Anolis sagrei: one gene and its partner. The protein of the gene in region 1 purifies or fractionates together with the protein of each later gene. This does not show direct contact. Links are inferred from orthologs where the notes say so. Each region holds a gene or a part of one and is shown on either strand. Other genes may lie near its edges.

Region 1 (3,600 bases):
TCCTTTCAATGGGGATCAGTCTCGACTACATAAACCAAAATAACAAACTGCTCCGGTTTCATGTCAGACCACACCTGGAATATTGTGTCCAATTCTGGGAACTGCAAATTTAAGGGAGATGTTGACAGGCTGGAATGTGTCCAGAGAAGGGTGACTATAATGATCAAGGTTCTGGAGAACAAGCCCTATGAGGAGCGGCTTAAAGAGATGGGCCTGTTTAGCCTTCAGAAGAGAAGGCTGAGAGGAGACATGATGAGGGCCATGTATCAATATGTGAGGGGAAGTCATAGGAAGGAGGGAGAAAGCTTGTTTTCTGCCACCCTGGAGACCAGGACGCAGAACAATGGCTTCAAACTACAGGAAAGATTCCACCTGAACATTAGGAAGAACTTCCTAACTCTGAGAGCTGTTCAACAGTGGAACTCCCCACCCCGGAGTGTGGTGGAGGCTCCATCTTGGGAGGAATTTAAACAGACTGGAAGGCCATCTGTCAAGGATGCTTTGAAGGCAGTTTTCTTGGTACTTGGCAGAATGGGGTTGGACTGGATGGTCCATGAGGTCTCTTCCAACTCTGTGATTCTAGCCAAACAGGAGAAGCAAGGAGACAATCACAATACACGTGTGGAGGGAGAGGAAAATGTGCATCTACAGGGCAGAATTAATGTATAAGAATGTCTATTTTTGTTATATCAGGAGTGACTTGAGAAACTGCAAGTCGCTACTGGTATCAGAGAATTGGCTGTCTGCAAGTACATTGCCCAGGGAATGCTCGGATGTTTGGTGTTTTACCATCCTTATAGAGGGCTTCTCACATGTCCCCACATGGGGAGCTGGAGCTGACAGAGGGAGCTCAACCCACTCTCCCTGGATTTGCACCACTGACCTATTGGTCAGCAGTCCTGCTGCCACAAGGGTTTAACCCATTGCGCCACCAAGGGTCCCTTGTACAATGAGTAACTGGTTTATCAGAAAACCAGAAATGCACTGGGCCCTCACCAAACTCCAACTCCCAGGTTTCCATAGCACTGAGCCATGGGAAGTGGTGTCCAACTGCATTCATTCTACCCTGTAGAAGGCCTGGATCTTCTAGAGCAGTGTTTCTTAACCTGTGGGTCCCCAGATGTTTTGGCTTTCAACTCCCAGAAATCCTAACAGCTGGTAAACTAGTTGGGATTTCTGGGAGCTGTAGGCCAAAACACCTGGGGACCCACAGGTTGAGAACCACTGGTCTAAAGTAGGCTCACGTGCTGAATGGGATTTTCCCCAGGGGTTGGCTCCTCAACTACTGGGAACGTGGGTTGTGATGGGACTGAGGCCTCTGCAATGCTCTGCTTCTGATGCAATACAAAAAGGGGAACCAACATGCCCACCAAGCATTCGGGTGTCAAATGCTGACGTTCTTGGTCTCCTTTGCTACATACGCAAACATGCCACGAAAAAAAAAGAAGAAAGGAGCAACATTGGAGAAAGATTCCACCCTCCCCTCAGAATACAAGCCGCTGAGGAAGAGATCTCGCTTTCCTGGAAAGAGCTGGAGGGATCTCCCAAGGCCGATCCGACAAGCCTGCCCATGCGTGGGGTAGGGGGACCCGCCACAGAGCATCTCCAGCTCGACTGCCCCCAAATCCTACTAACCCACATGTTTCTGATTTCCTCCCTCCACCTTCCTCTTCCCCTCCCTGAAACCTTCCTTGCCTGGAATGCCTCCATCCTGCTGTGTCAGGGGAGGCATCCCAATGGGAAGGATGCTCTCTGCATCCTCAGGCGGCCACGTTCTCTGGACCACGAGAGGAGAAGGCCACATTCTTTGGACCAGCGAGGAGGAGGAAGCAACAGCACTGCGCCTCTCTCACCTTCTGCGCTGATGAAGACCCCACATCCCTCTCCTCAAATAACTTATCCCTCCAGTCCTATTTACCTCCCCCCCCCCCCCCACCAATTGCCCTTTCTATGCCATGTCTGCTAAGTAGGGTGGCACTGCTTGCCTGTCATAGCCATATAGGATCATTCGGCCTTCCTTGCCTCCCATATTTGGCTGCCTATCCAACCCAGGCCTTGTTCCCAACCAACCCACTTGTCAATTCCATCCACGCCGCGGGCGCGCGGGCCCCTCCTTCCGCGGACAAGCGGGTGGCAATCCTTGCCCACCTTTTCCACGAAGGAAGGCACCCCCCCCCCCTCCAAGTCTTGGGATAGACCCCTTTCGTGGGATGGAGGGGCCTTTCCTTGGAGAGCGCGTGGTCCAGGCGACCACGAGGCTGCCTCGCCTCCGATGTGTCCAAGCAGGCACCCCACCCATCACACACATACTCATATATAAATGCAAACTCGCAAGCTTCCCCCTTTCGATGATCCTCTACCTTTTCCCTCTCCCCGGGAGGTCAGGAGCTAGAAGCCCCCCTAACCCGCACCCCGCCAGCCTTACCTTCTGTCCAAAGGCGCCCAGCGTGGCTTGGGCGACTCGCTCTTCTCTCCCGCAGTCCCCGCAATGTGGCCAGCTGAAAGATCAATGGCTTTGTGGGGAGGGAGAGGGGGCAGCGGTTTTCGCGCGCGTGTGTGTTTGTGTGTCTATGTACTGCTCTGGGAGGTGGCGAGGACAGAGACGTACATGTGCGCGGCGCTTCCGATGCAGGGGCGTTTAAAGACGGAGAGAAAGGCGGGAGGGAGCGAGGGAGGGAGGCAGGGAGGGAGGGGGAAAGGCAGGGCGGAGGGAGCCGCACCTCCCTTGACGCAGAGCAGCCTGCAACGCCGGCCTCTCCATCCATCCTCCATCCTCCTCCTCTAGGCAAGACCAAGAGGATAAGGGGCTCCCCCTCCCCACCCTTGGAAGAGAGGCGCGCTAGGCGAACCAAGGCTTTCCGCCGAGAACAAAGCGAGCCCTCCCCTCCACGCATCTTGGCGCCCACAGCCCTGGTCCCAAGGCCCCCTTTCCCGTCCCCAGCCTAACCCCACCCTGTGGCTTTCTAGGGGAGACTGCGGCACGGTGTACTTGCCCTGGGGGGAGAAGATGCTGTGGCCAAAGGACCCAAGCTGCTGTCTCCCCCCTCCCGCCGCCCTTTTCTGGTTTTGGAAATGGAGAGGTTAGGCGCACCAGGAGGAGATGTACCCGCCTGGCACACACCTATAGGAGGGTAGGGCAGTTCCTGGACAGCCAGAGTTGTGCCATGCGGAAAGAGGACTCAGCTTCTTTCTAGCACTCTCAGTTGCTCTCTCTCTAGGTTTTTGGGAATGGAAAGGTTGGGCATGCTAAGAGAAGACCTCCAGCTTGTCATTAGAAGAAGAGTGGGTCGTTCTGGAGCAGCTCGCTATGGGGTGGAGAGGAATAGAAAGGGCAAGAAAGTGAGTAAGGGCCTTCTCAGTGGTGGCTCCTTGGCTCTGGAACTCTGTCCCTACTGGCTCGCAGAAAGAAAACAAAGACATGGTTTAATCTATTGTCTTTCATGGCCAGAATCACTGGATTGTTGTGATGTTTCCAGGCTGTATGACAGGGCCTTCTCAGTGGTGGTCCCTCGGTTGTGGAACTCCCTCCCTAGTGATATCAGAGCAACCCCCTCCCTCATAGTGTTTAGTAAGAGTCAAAACTTGGCTCTGGGCTCTGGG
Region 2 (3,824 bases), about 130 Mb from region 1:
TGAACCCAATTCAAGGTGCAGGTGCTTACCTACAAAGCCCTAAATGGTTTGGGACCAGCCTACCTGCGTGACCGCATCTCCGTCTATGAACCCACGCATTCTCTTCGCTCATCTGGAGAGACTCTGCTCGCGATTCCACCTGCGTCGCAGGCGCGTTTGGTGGGAACGCGGGACAGGGCCTTTTCTGTGGTAGCCCCCTGACTTTGGAACACCCTCCCCCTACGTTGGCAGTCTTTAGAGCTTGAAGACCTGGCTGTTCCGATGTGTCTTTCCAGAATAGGAACTCCAGTAATATGCCCCAGAAGCACTTTATCAGAGTTTTAAGATTATCTGCACACTGCACTTACCCTAAATTCTGACATACCACCTATCACACCCAGCACATTTTAATATGTACCCATCACATTTAGCCCAGCCCTAGTTTTATTGTGTCGTGGTGTATTGTTTTTATTGTTTACTGCTATTGTTTTATTGTTTGATTTGCTTTAAGTTATGTGTTTTGTTATGCTGTTGTTTTATTGAGGCCTTGGCCTATGTAAGCTGCATCGAGTCCTTCGGGAGATACTAGCGGGGTACAAATAAAGTTAATAATAATAATAGTAATAATACTCCATCATGAGGAGACAGCAAAGCCTAGAGAAGACAATTATGCTGGGGAAAGTGGAAGGCAAAAGGAAGAGGGGCCAACCAAGGGCAAGATGAATGGATGGCATCCTTGAAGTGACTGGACTGACCTTGAAGGAGCTGGGGGTGGTGACGGCCGACAGGGAGCTCTGGCGTGGGCTGGTCCATGAGGTCACGAAGAGTCGGAGACGACTGAACGAATGAACAACAACAATTTTCAATAACATTAAAAGTTCAATAACAAAACATTACAGGGAAAATCAGCAGATTCTTAATCCATCTAAAACACAGAGCTGTGCTTAAGTGGCTGAGGGGGAAAAGGAAAGGGCCTGAGGCTGTTAGGAATGGTGGGAGTTGAAGTCCAAAACACCTGGAGGGTCGAAATTTGCCCTTGTCGGATGTAGATGCACCCTCTAGTAAAAAATGCTGGGGCTTCACCAAACTACAACTCCCATTCTTCTGTAGCATTGAGAAATGCCAGTAAAATTGATGCTGAACTGCATTTACAACAATGGAGCTGCACCCTGTATAATGCTTTTTTCTGCAGGCAGGCAGCAAATAGACTGGAGCACCATGGATTCTTTCCCCCTGTATCCGTTCGAAGCGAATGACAGGTCATCTTGAGATCACAATGCAGCCCTGAGCGAAGAATGGCAAAGGAAGCTCGAATGTATATGTGCCTCCCTCTCTCTCTCTATATACGGCATTAGTGGGAACCCCCCTGTATGGCTCAGCTTCGAAGGCGCACCCAAAGGCGCAGAGATAAGGCAAGGAAGGAGGAGAGGAGACGTCGCCTCTTTTAGGGATCAGAAAAGGATCCCGGAGGCGGGGAAAAGCCGCCACAGGATCGGATTTGCTCCGAAGGGGAGAGGAGAAGGAGTTAAAGGGGTGGAGCGACAGAAAGCCAGGGCGAGGAAGGAGGAAAGAAAGGGAGGAAGGAAGAAAGGAAGAGTGAGCTTTGGCGCAGGAGGGGCTCTTCGGGTCCAGTCCCTTTCCAGCGCGTTTGGGAACCAAAGGGGACTTTCCTCTTGCTTTTCTCCTGCCAAGGCTCAAGGGGAGGGGTTAGGGAGGGAGGGGGGAGAAGGGGCTCGGCCCTTGGTCTTCAGCGACCCCTTTTATTTGGGGGAAGGGGGCGGTTCCAGCCTTTCTCCAGGATGGAGAAGGTCTTGGCCATCGCCTTGGAGCTGCTCAGCGCCTGGTTCGCCTTGGCTTTCCTCCTCATCGTGCTGCCTTCCATCTTCGGCGTCTCCTTGGGCATCTCCGAGCTGTACCTCAAAGTCTTGGTGAAAACCTTGGAGGTGAGACCTTGGGGGAAAGGGGGCCGCCAAACAATAGGCCGGGAGAAGGGAGCAAGGTGTGTGTGTGACGTGCGTAACGCGTGTCTTTGAGTTGGCTCTCCAAGGTCTGCTGCCTGCCTGCCTGCCTCTCTTGTGCGCCCTGCTTCTTTCTGCTGACCCTCCTTGGCATGATTCAGCAGCAGGAGAGTCAAGACTCTTATTTCCCCCCCCTAGGAAGGTTTCCTTTCTCTTTTATCTGCTCAGGAGGCCAGGCAAGGGTTTGAAGCAAACAATGACAGCACTCTAGGAATCTTCCCACACCCTCCTCTTGAAATCCTGGATGCAGTTTGGCAGTTAACCACCACTGGCACGCCCCAAACGACAAAATAACAACAAGGCTGCATCTAGATCAGTCATGGGCAAACTTGGGCCCTCCCTCCAGGTGTTTTGGACTTCAACTCCCACCATTCCTAACAGCCCCAGGCCCTTTCATTTCCCCCCTCAGCTGCTTAAGAGGAGATTTGGCATTTCTTCAGAGGCTAAGAAAGTATGATTTGCCCAAGATCTTGCAACATGCATTTGAACCTTGGTCAGCAGAGTGGTCGTCCAGTGCTCAAACTACTACTAACCGCTGTGGCTCCTAACCCTTTAGACCTCTGTTCCTCAACCTTCCTAAAGCCGTGCCCCCTTAATGCAGTTCCTCACGTTGTGGTGACCCCCAACCTGGGGCGGCTCAACCCATTATGCAAAGTAAGCAGTTGCAGTATAGTTGATTTTGCCCAGGGGCACTCTTGGGGGAAAATAGACCTTGACATATGTGAGTTGTAGTTACTGGGATGTATAGTTCACCTACAATCAAAGAGCATTCTGAACTCCACCAATGATGGAATTGAATCAAATATGGCACACAGAACTCCCACGACGAACAGAAAATATATATCAGTGATTGGTTGAGGGGAGGGGGGGGAGGGGAACGCCAAAATACTGTTTGCTTACCATTGAAAATTACCTAGGGCTGCCTCTGCCCCCAACCATAAAATTATTATGTTGCTACTTCATAAGTGTAATTTTGCCACTATTATGAATCGTAATGTAAATATCTGATATGCAGGATATATTTTCATTCACTGCATGAAATTTGACACAGATACTCGATACGCCCAAATTTGAATATTGGTGAGGTTGAGTGGGATTGATTTTGTCATTTGGGAGTTGTAGTTGTTAGTAAACCTACATTGAAAGAACATTCTCAACTCCACCAATGATGGAATTGAACCAGGCTGACACACAGAACTCCCATGACCAACAGAAAATACTGGAAGGGTCTGGTGGGCATTGACCTTGAATTTTGGAGTTGTAGTTCACCTACATCCAGAGAGTACTGTGGACTCAAACAATTATGGTTCTGGTCCAAACTTGGCACAAATACTCAATATGCCCAAATGTGGAGATTGGGGAAAATAGATCTTGACATTTGGGACTTGTAGTTGCTAGGGTTTATAGTTCACCTACAATCAAAGAGCATTCTGAACCCCAACAACGATAGAATTGGGCCAAACTTCCTACACAGAACTCACATGACTAACAGAAAATACTGTGTTTTCTGATGGTATTTGGCAACCCCCCCCCCCAGGAGTCCCAACCCCCCAGGTTGAGAAACCCTGTTTTAGACCCACCTTTTAAATTATTACTTATTACTTACTTATTTGTGATATTTGTATACCACCCTTCCCAAGCCCGAAGGGTATTTTTTTGTGTTGACTCCCTTGCTGAAAATTGTCTAACTACATTCCTGCTCCTCAAGTTGTTTGGACCGGACTATAACAATGCTTATGAAAGCAATGGGAAACACAGGGTGTATCTAACTAATGCAGTTTGACAGCACTTTAACTGCCATGGCTTCATGCTGTGGAATCTTGGGAG

The links. Proteins that work in one complex are often made in the same cells at the same time.
Region 2: the proteins of SLC6A15 (region 1) and GPAT3 purify together in Homo sapiens (co-immunoprecipitation; 3 studies listed by BioGRID and IntAct, counting the BioPlex papers as one, with this or other methods). This does not show direct contact. The link is inferred for Anolis sagrei from reciprocal best matches to the Homo sapiens genes SLC6A15 and GPAT3.

The regions. Positions count from the first base shown.
Region 1 is NC_090025.1:150,856,950-150,860,549, forward strand, and holds the start of SLC6A15 (sodium-dependent neutral amino acid transporter B(0)AT2), read right to left. Parts: upstream 2,739-3,600; 5' UTR 2,426-2,738; intron 1-2,425.
Region 2 is NC_090025.1:17,672,963-17,676,786, forward strand, and holds the start of GPAT3 (glycerol-3-phosphate acyltransferase 3), read left to right. Parts: upstream 1-1,387; 5' UTR 1,388-1,778; coding exon 1,779-1,922; intron 1,923-3,824. UniProt on the Homo sapiens protein: Converts glycerol-3-phosphate to 1-acyl-sn-glycerol-3-phosphate (lysophosphatidic acid or LPA) by incorporating an acyl moiety at the sn-1 position of the glycerol backbone.